Oryzias latipes: one gene and its partners. The protein of the gene in region 1 interacts with the protein of each later gene in a pairwise test. Links are inferred from orthologs where the notes say so. Each region holds a gene or a part of one and is shown in the gene's direction. Other genes may lie near its edges.

What was found.
Region 2: the proteins of RNA-binding protein with multiple splicing (region 1) and serf2 interact in a two-hybrid assay, tested with the Homo sapiens proteins (2 studies listed by BioGRID and IntAct). The two-hybrid records come from large-scale screens. The link is inferred for Oryzias latipes from reciprocal best matches to the Homo sapiens genes RBPMS and SERF2.
Region 3: the proteins of RNA-binding protein with multiple splicing (region 1) and fam168a interact in binary tests that used the Homo sapiens proteins (3 or more experiments, as listed by UniProt). The two-hybrid records come from large-scale screens. The link is inferred for Oryzias latipes from reciprocal best matches to the Homo sapiens genes RBPMS and FAM168A.

What each region holds. Positions count from the first base shown.
Region 1 is NC_019876.2:8,063,090-8,066,847, forward strand, and holds the start of RNA-binding protein with multiple splicing, read left to right. Parts: upstream 1-1,427; 5' UTR 1,428-1,786; coding exon 1,787-1,849; intron 1,850-3,758.
Region 2 is NC_019861.2:26,947,624-26,950,553, reverse strand, and holds serf2 (small EDRK-rich factor 2), read left to right. Parts: upstream 1-840; 5' UTR 841-972; coding exon 973-979; intron 980-1,662; coding exon 1,663-1,771; intron 1,772-1,917; coding exon 1,918-1,990; 3' UTR 1,991-2,346; downstream 2,347-2,930. UniProt on the Homo sapiens protein: Positive regulator of amyloid protein aggregation and proteotoxicity. Induces conformational changes in amyloid proteins, such as HTT, driving them into compact formations preceding the formation of aggregates.
Region 3 is NC_019871.2:20,750,939-20,754,696, reverse strand, and holds the start of fam168a (protein FAM168A), read left to right. Parts: upstream 1-982; 5' UTR 983-1,108; intron 1,109-1,693; exon of another isoform or gene 1,694-2,488; intron 2,489-3,758.

The sequences.
Region 1 (3,758 bases):
AAGTATTGGCAACTGTAACTCTTTCATCGTTAAATAACGTAATTCAAGCGAATTCTTAAACAAAGAAAATTGGCTTTGCGCCGTTTTACTATAATGTGTTGCATGTTTGTGCAAAGCCCAAAAGAAAAGCTGTTTTTCTCCATGTCAGATTTAGCTGATTCCCATTGGTTTGGTAAACGATCATAGAGTTAGGCCAAATCCAGATTCTTCCCCTACCCCTACATTTAGTCCCCCAGACGGAGAGTTATAGAAACATAATGCCTTCAAATTCGGACGTTACTCCCATTCAATAACATCATGAACAGTCGCTGGTCAGCTACGTTAGCACGGAGCAGCTGGTGCTCGGAAATACCTAACAACATGTAAAACGTCAGGCTAAAGGAAAAAGTCATTACTTAGGGCTCGACATCCCTCCGCAGCCATGGGTTAGCCATTAAAAAACTATTTCGGACAACCCTATCCCTCCAAAAGCCCCTACAATTGGAAGGGTAGGGAGAAGCCGTAGGGGTAGGGGAAGAATTGGGATTCGCCCTTATCAAAGGGCGTGTGTTGTTCAGCTGTTGCCAGCGAAATCTCCGATGTTAAAGGGTTGAAAGACCCATCCGCTCATCTTTTGAGCTCTTTTTAAAGCGTTTCCAGTGGTCTTTTAATTATGATTGTACCGTTTTCCAAAACCAAAAAACCTGTGTTGGTTTCTTGGTCATAGTTTCTGCAAAGCGGCAGTAGTTCATTAGAAATTCCCCTCTGACATGTGGGCGGGACTGCTGGCATGGAGCAACCCCGCTCCCCCTTACCCTCCCCGTTGTTGAGAGCTCTCTGTTTACACTCTCTCCCACTACCTTACAAGCCCCTCACACCCCCAACCTGACATTAGCAGTGCAAGAAAAATGGCAAGCAGTGTTACAGCTATACAACCATACCAAGACGTACATGGATTTAGTCGTCTACAAGGGATGCGTCAGAACGGAGCCGCCCACCCAGCGTATTTCTGACATCACAAATACGATCTTCATCTCCTGATTCACAACGATTTGAATTTTTAAAATTCTCAAAAATGTATAGCATAATACTGATTATCTGAAAATAATAATCGAACAAGATAACCAGGACGACAAGCTTTACACGGTTGACACAATTATTCTAAAATTGAAAATTTCTTTATTGATAATGTAGAAATATTTCATACATTTCTTTGGAGCAACAACAACAAAAAAAAGAAACTCAACCTATTGTCCCTGATAAAATAAATAAGCCAGCACATTGAAAGACTATCTCAGGAATGTTGCCGGGACTAAAATAACACGCAGCTGGTCCTAAAGTTGACTGATACTGATTTTCCACTGAAGCTCTCCCTCCACGAGGCTACTTGATAAATCTTGATCGGGCTGCGGCGCATCCCACTCCTTACCCCACCCTAAACCCCTCCCTCGCGCGCGCGGAGATGGGGAGAGAAGTTTGCCTGCGGCTCGGTCCAGCGAGCATTGACTGTTGAGGAGACAGGGGCTTCTGGTTTCCAGGGAATGCTGAGGAATACCCGCCCGCAGGCTCACCTCACCCCGCTTTGAGTGGTAAAGACACGAGGCAGGCAGGAAGAAGGAAGGAACGGGGGGTGGCATTTAGTGGGATTCATGTGGCAAAACTAAAAGTGAAGGAAGCTCGGGTCAGTGGGACAGCGGGCGCGCGCGCGGACTGCCTGTCCTGTCGAATCCAACGAAGGAGCCGAGGAGGAGAGACCGAGACCAGAAGACGACCGTCCCGAGCGAGAGCGACACGAGTGCGGCTCAGGATGAACAACAACAAAACCGAGAAGGAGAACGAGACGACTGAATTCACCAACCACGAAGAGGAGGTACGCGGTTCCACCTTAAATCAGACGCCAGAACTACTTGTTAGGCGGTGTAGCCGCTTTAGCCTTCCCGGCCACCCGCGTTCTACCTGTTAAGGTGAACCCGAGTCAATTAGAGTCGAGTTTATCCTACTAAAAGTTGTCACATCCAGATGTTTGACCTTAACATCCTTATGGTTTCATTAAAGTTAGATGTCAGTCATTCCCTTATATTTTCTTTTTTTTTTTTAACCTTTTTTTTATTTTTTTTTTATTTCTCTTTTGTTATTGGGCTGAAACATAACGTTTTTCAATCAATAAATGTACGTTTATACCCATTTTCCCTCTATAAAGTGGATTTTTTTTTTCATGAAAAACAGCTTTTTTTTTAGTTATAATGTAAAATTTTATAAACGAAAGTTTCGTCCTGGTTCAGTTTTAACTGCAATTTGGGTGAAAACAGGTTTTTGTGACCAAAGAAAATTGGTTTATGGGTGAAAATGTTAAAAAAAATGCATTTCATTTTGAGATCGGCCCCTTCTTTAATGCAATAATTGCTTTACTCATTAAAACATGACTGTTTCTTAATTTGAAGGCAGGTTGTGGGCTACAGTTTACTGAAAAGCCATGCAGTCAGGGAGACTTAGTTCTCACTGAAGATGAGCAAGGCATTGAAGTTCAAACAACTAATGCTGCAACATGTAGGCAATGACTCTATGTAATCCTACCTCACAGTCAAACAACAGGAGCCTCGTCCCGCATCTGGATCTAAACACAACACACTAACGTGTATTTGTCAGAAGATAAACGCTCGGTTTCTTGACCTTGGTTCGAGTCCATCCGCGTCTTTTTGGTTCGGTTTTGGAACCGATTTGCACGAGCTCTTTGTTGTTTCAGAACCCGCCTCTGCACCCGAGGGAAGGGAGGAAGGTAGATCAGATTATTTCTCTTGGAGTAATTTGATTAAAACTCAGCAGAATGTTACTCACTGACTGATAATAACCCAACACACTCGAACTGATGTAAGACTGTGTTTTGTTGGTTACTGTGGAGTCTGTGTACCCCCATAGAGTTAACGAAACCCTGAAAAAAATGCATTTTTATGTGGTAGAGCTCAGGTTTTTTTTCTTCTTTCTGGACAAATAGTAATAAAGATTACTTTTTATCAATGGGACAAAGATACGCTTGTGTGTTTTTAGGTAATAAACTACTTAATGAATCAATACCTGGCTTTTGTCAATAAGATAACCTCCCAATACCTAAAAACAAGAGGTGTCCTGAGCTTCTGTTGGAAAATATTGAGTCATCTGTCCCAAAGTGTTCCAAGTTTGTTTTTTCTCTTACTTATGTAGCTTTTCTCAGGTTAGATTTCACCTTTTGAACCTATTCATTAGTGTTTTTGTGACAGAGGTCTCTGTACCCTCAAGAGTTCCCGAAACCCTTTAAAAAAAAGTGTATTTTTATTTAGAAGAGCTCTGGGTTGTTCTTTTTTTTTTACTGGACAAATAGTAATAAAGATCACTTTTTATCAATGGGGCAAAAAAGGTTTGTGTGTTTTTGGTTAACAAACGACTTAAGCAATCGATAGTTAGTTTTGGCCCATCCGATAACCTCTGGATTGCTAAAACAAAGGGGGTCTAGAGCTTCTGTTGGAATAGAGAAAACTGTACTTGAATGATTTATCCTAAAGGGGCCCAGGTTTCATGTTTTCCCTCTTTCAAATGGAGGTTTTCTCAGGTTAGATTTCCTCTTTTGAACCTATGCTAAATCGGCAGTGTTTTTGTGACGTTGGACATCAAAGAGACCCAACAGTCCTGACGCGAGTAGAAAAATGATTCTCTCGACCTGCGTCCGGCTGGAAAAGTAGTACTCAAGCGGACTCACCGGACGTGAGTTGTCTCGAGTTGCTTTTTTTTTTTTTTCGTAAGAGAGA
Region 2 (2,930 bases), on another chromosome or scaffold:
TCCCCCCAAAGCAATCAAATAGCAATAACATAGGTAAAGTAAACAAATGTTTACAAAAAAATGGCAACATTTATTTTTTTAAGTGCTCTTGTTTAGTTTAACCTGCTTACCAAATCTTTTGAGGGGTGGATATTTTTCAATTGTCAATTCTGCAAAATACTATTGTTAAAAAAATGTTTCATGCATAAAAACCCAAGTAATGCAATAAAGTTGTACTTTATTGCATTACTTGTGGTTGATTCACATTTTCTAGGGCTGGCATCACAAATAGACAGACATGGATTATCTATCTTAAGACCTATTTTCCTTTTTGGTGTCTAATTATATGTTACTGATGTATATGTTCCTATTACCACAGCTAGTTTTCTGCACCTCAGTGTCCAAATATCTTATGATACACACTTCTTCACCTAAATTAATTGGCACACTTTCACTTGATTACAATGGAATGCTATAAAATATTTTTTTTATATTTTATCATATTATAAAATAGACACTTACCCTAAAAAGTAAAAAGTCTTGAACAAACTTGTTTATTTAGTTTAATAATTAAATTGACCTTATTTTCTAACATTTTACTGTCAACCCCTCCTATCTAAAATTATGTTACTTTGGTTAAGCATAAGTGCTAGACTTCCAGAATTCCTGTTTCAGAATCATTGCATCGTATTTAATACATTTATTTGACCATCTTTATGCTGAATTATCATTTCTGGACTCTACACTTGTGACTGCAAGTAAAAAGAAAAACCTCTTGACGTTGACGCATGCGCATGATCACTTGATCATAACAGAATGTTCTGGTTCGTAAGCGGAAGTACCGTCTTTAGCGGCCACAAGGGGTCGCAACTCTCAACCACAGCAGAAGACCACAGCAGACACAGCGACTGGGGCGTCGAGAAGGGAGCCAGCGGCCCTTTGGCTGAGCGTATCTGGATTTAAGGCAAAAGAGGTGTCGTTAGTGGAAAAAAAATGACCAGTAGGTAGCGATATGTATATCTGCTTTAACATGCTGTATATATTCCCGACTGCGTGTGGTCTTTATTTGTAGCTCCTAAACAAAGCCAGTCTAGCTTCTGTGTCAGTAAATAGACGGAACCATCTAACGTTTTCGACAATGTTTGTGAAATAACAGTAGCACAATAACGATATCTACCACCTTTTGGTTCCCAGTTTATTGTCTCAGATTCCGGTACGTGTCGACTTGATGTGTTACGTAATCGGGTTTCATGTCGATATTAGTTTTCCGGGTGTTAGACGAAGCCGTGGCCTATAGCTAACGCATACTTCGGATTTTAAAAACGTCAGTAATCGCTCGTCATTTTTATTTTAAAAACAACAACAACAAAAGCTTAACAATACATTTTAGTATGTTGTATTATTTTTTATATATATGGTTTAGCTCGATGGTTGTAGTGGAAGATGATTTGCCACGTCGACTCCTACTACTACTGGCGTTTCATCTTGTCTCTATTGCTGCCTTTAGCGTTGGCTCCGTGTAAAACGCGTTAAAACACCAGAAAACACACACCCCTTTGGCTACTCTTATTTTTAGTCTGGAGAAGATTTTTTGTTTGTTTTTTTAGGCGTGTGAGGGGTGTGTCTCTATTAATGTGTTATTGTTTACCTTTGTTCTGCTTGTCTGGTGTCCCTGTGGTGCAGGAGGTAACCAACGTGAGCTTGCACGCCAGAAGCACGCAAAAAAACAAGGAGAAATGACGAAAGGGAAGAGGAACGATGATGGACTGTCTGCTGCTGCTCGGAAACAGAGGTAAACTCTTTATTTCATTGCATTCTTGCATAAGTTGTTATTTTGGCACAGGGGGTATCATTATGAATCCAATCAAGGCTGCAAAAAGTGAAATGTTTCTTTTGTCTGAAAAATGTTTTGTCTTGATTTCATCTCTTCTTCTTCAGGGATGCAGAAATAATGCAACAGAAGCAAAAAAAGGCCAATGAAGGGGGGAAGGAAGGTCCCAAGTCCAAGTGAAATATGAAGAGAAATATTCCTCTTGCTGTTTTGGGAACTTCAAAAGTTCAGCGTTCTTCCTGATAGTTAAGAGAATGGACCCGTCATTTTCATCCAGACTCAAGAATCCTGGATCCTACATTCTTCCCAATGGCAAATGACATTTGCTTGTTGGATTTGTTATTTTATATAATTAAAAGTAAGTCTCAGAGAGTTGGTGCTTATCCTACATTGGTGCTGCATGCAAATGGGCAGAAGAGGTTTAAAGAAAGACAAAGCTGAACAATTCTTGACTCGAAACATCCACTTGACAGTTGTGTATTTTTGTACAAAAGTGTCCCCTGATGGTCTCCAATAAAGTATGTGTTTTTAGTTGATGTTTTTGTGAGTTATTTTGCATAAAATCACATCTATAGTATTTTCCGCTACAGATGTGAATATAATCCAACACCATACTTAAGTCCCTTTTACAATGCCACATTGAAATGGAGGTGTTTATTTTTTTTCTTTAGTCTAAACTGCTAAAAAAGGAAAATGGGTTACATGCGTTGAAGTACATTATTTTTTTAAACAGGTAGCTGATATTGACCAAATAATTAAAATGTTCATTTTTATACAATTTTGTTTTATAAGTTACATTTTTTCATTTTGTCTATGTAATTATTCCAACCACCACTAGATGGAGACAGCCCCCTAAAATAGTTTGTGTTGTGCAATTCTCGTTTTTCTTTCAGAACTTTGTTTTTTACAATGTGGAAACGTGTTTTTTTTTCTGCAGTTTTACAAATTTGGTGCAATACTATGGGAAGACTCTTGTACAGCTTTACATCTCAAGCTACAATAACTTTTGCAAACAACTTCAGCAATTTATCCAACCGTCATTTCTGCCTATAGTTCAATTCAAGTTAACACCTTCAAACATATTTCCGCAGGAAGTGCAATTTGTGTGGGTTTTTTTCTC
Region 3 (3,758 bases), on another chromosome or scaffold:
GCTTCAACATTTGGATGGTAGGGTCAGAATTTGGCATCAAAAACATGAAATCATGGAGCCATCCAGTCTTATATCAAGAGTTTAGGCTGGTGCTGGTGGTGCACTGGTGTGGGGGCACACTTTGGGTCCCTTAGTACCAATTGAGGATCTTTTCAACTTCACAGTGTACCTGTGTATTGTCGCTGACCATGTCCGTCCCTTTATGACCACAGTTTCTACTTTTGGTACTTCCAGTAGGATAATGCACCATGTCATAAAGCTGGAATCATCTCAGACTGGTTTCTTGAACATGACTATGAGTTCACTGGACTCAAATGACCTCCACAGTCACCAGATCTCAACCCAATAGATCACCTTTGGGAGGTGGTGGCACGGGAGATTGGCATCATGGATGTGCAGCCAACAAACCCGAGGCAACTGCGTGATGTTATCATGTTAATACGGACAAAACTCTCTGAGGAATGTTTCCAGCACCTTGTTGAATACATACCACCAAGGATTAAGCCAGTTCTGAAGAAAATGTGATTGTTTGAAATCAACAAATTACAATTCGTGAGCAACCTGGTTTATGACCACATGGCGGCGCTGTCTTGCTGTGTAGAAAACGTACATGAAGACAGAAAGATAGACTACGTCCAGATTTTCTTTGTACAGAAAAAAAAACAATGCAAACAATATTATAATATAATTTGCCAAAAGCAGTTGCATGTATGTTGCCGCTTCATATAGTATGTATTACTAATTATTTACAATAATAAAGTATTAACCTAAGATTTTTTCCCCCCATAATGTTGTCTTTATTATTAAAACAAAACAAAAAATGTGACTTCGCAAATTCCCATTCTCCTCGTGGTTTGGAGCGCATTGATCCGCTGATCGGACCCCCTCCGCCGTTCATAATCGGTGCCTCGTCCCCCCCGCCGTTCTGCTTGCATCCCAGCATCCCTCCCTCCTTCCCTCTCGGCGGTGCATCCCCATCCCCCACACGTCGGCCGTCTCTCCGGTTGAAAGCTGTTTCCAAGCGTCACTGGCCGAGCAGAAAGAACCAGTCCTCACCGACCGAGCGCACCGCAGCACGCCGAGAAGTCTTTGTTTTCGAGTGGTTTCGGTGAGTCCCGTTTTGCTGGCTGTCGTGGAGGGCAGAAATGTCCATAGGTCGACTTTTTATATCTGCGTTCTTTGACTTCTTCCCCCTCCCTTTCCCTTCAATTGTCCTCCGTGGTGACTAGTGGGAATCTAGCGGGCTAAGCTAAAAATGCTAACGATAATAGCGGACACTAAATGGACACACTAAATGCACCGGATGTGCGTTAATGCTTATAGGTTTCGAATCTAAATATTTAAACATGTTTACATTATTTAAGCCATGTTATTGTTGTTAGTTTTTTTCCTGCAATTGTCCGGTAATTTATCGGCTAGCCTGCTATTAGCGACGTGAGCAGCGTGCACCGATGGATGCGGGGATGCAGCGGCCGGTTAGCGGCTGTCTTTTTCGGGCTAGCTTGAAAGCTAACGTTTCGATAAGAGTTCAACCGTTTCCAGCGCTTTTGTTTCCCAATGATTCGACCTCACGCGTGTTGATTGATCGTCTCGTGTTAACTGGCAGCTTCTGGAGGTTGTTGCACAAAAAATCTGGGGATTTTCAAAATGGTGTCTTTGGCTTGTATTGACTGTGTGACCATTTTTGTCCAACCTTTGCTGTTTTGGCGTTGCTCGCTATCTGTGGTGAGCAGCGCAGCCCCGACCGATGCGTGCCGCGGGCTGATAGAAGAAATACATCCGAACCACCAAGGTTCTGAGAAATGTACAGGAGGCTGCAGGATAATAATATATCAAGATAAAAAGAATGTTTTGTTGTCAAACAATTTTAAAATCATTATTTATTTTCCTAAAACCTGTTATGCTTTAAAATATACATTTCCATCCTACAGAAAACAATAGAGTAAATGCATAATCAACATGGGTTTACCTTTATAAATTTGTTACAACTTTTATTTAGTAGGAAAGTCCCAGTTAGATTTGTGTTGGGCACCAGTTTGTTTGATTCATTTGATTTTGAGTATCTCCCTAAAATGAGTCCCAATCTGATATGTTTGTAACGCATCAAATAAATGAACATTTTAATAAACTAATCGAGGTTCTCCTCTATTTTTATTTTATTAACTTTCTTTTACATTTTGACACCGATCATTTGTTTATTGGTTCAAAAACGTTCTTAGAAGTCCCTTAATTACAATCATGCCATTTTTAGCCAAAGTAAAAAAAACTTTAGGCTGTGTCCGAATTCCCTCCCTAATCCCTAACTACTAAAAACTATATAGTAAACTATGTAGTGCCCTTTTAAAAGTAATTCAGACACCACGCTCAATACTTTTTTTGCTAACAGCGAATATGACAACCGATTTCACAAAGTGAAAATCTAATTGATAGGAGTGTTCTACAACAACTGTTTATGAATCCACTGTGTTCTGATGATGAAAATGTTGAATTTTTATTTGAAAACAGATTTAAATACATTTTATCTTGCAAAAATTGTTCAGACGCAATGCATAATGGTCTATATTTGCCAATCTAGTAAGCATTGATGCACACTGCATCAATGACTTCTGGGAAATTTCTAGGCCACTCGATTTTGGATTTGTAGATTTGGACAGCCTCACAAAATGGTGAACGCACTATAAAGTGCACTATATATTTATAATTAGTCCTTGTAAGAATGTTTGGTTACTGTATCTTTAGTGTCTTTAGAACTATTGATCGTTTTTTTTAAACATATATGATTTGATTTGTTCCATTAAAAATTTCCAAAAATTAAAAACAATGACTTTCCTCCAAAATTGTTGTTTCAGCATGAATATGATGAGTATTCATGACTAGTTCATATCAATGTAACCATTTATTTGTTTTGATTCTTTTTAATCACTTTTCCTGGAGCTTTCACTTTGTAGACGGTCCCTTGGCAGCGGTTTCTTTGCTAGAGTAGATATTAAAGAGGGAAAAAAATTGATTGAAATGCCTTTGTAGGTCATTGCTTGGCTTAAGACAAACTGATAGAGACACCTTTTGTTAGTTTAAAGCGCTTAAGAGAGTTATTCAGCCCGTAAGCCTGAATCTGTGAATATATTGCTAACTTTACCAAAATGTTTTTGTTCTTCACTCCTATTCAAACTAGAGTCGTGATCCGTTCATGATATACAGACTTCTACTAGGGCATTTTTTGAAATAATAAGCTTGGGATGTATAGTGTGTTAATTGGGCCCAATTTTTTGATCATGTGACCTGATCAGGACATCCCTAGTTTTTATCACTTCGGTTCGTGTTTTGACACATCCGTCTTAAACTTGAAATAGTATTTTGTAACTCCTCCTATAAAATAAGCATATTTCCTAATTGAAACATGTGCTATCCCGGCTCAAAATCATGTATATTTGTTTTAAACATGTAAAGCAAAGGTATAGATTTAGAATTTAGCCTGTTGTGGTCTTCATCTGTCCTGTCATCTAAGCTGGTGTGTGGCATTGTTGAGTTTTAGCTGGCTGTATAATGGAGCTATTAAACTGTCAAACCTTTAAAAGCTAGAATCACTTAGTGTTACATCAGGAGCTCACAAATAGACCTTTGTGTTGTCAACACTTTTTTTTCCTGTGATTGGAGCTGCTTAAGGATTTGCTGCTTAGGGACCTAAAGACATTCAAAAAAATCTTCATTCAAGTAGCCTTCAGCAGCCCACTATACTATCTGTTAATTCGAGATTTCAT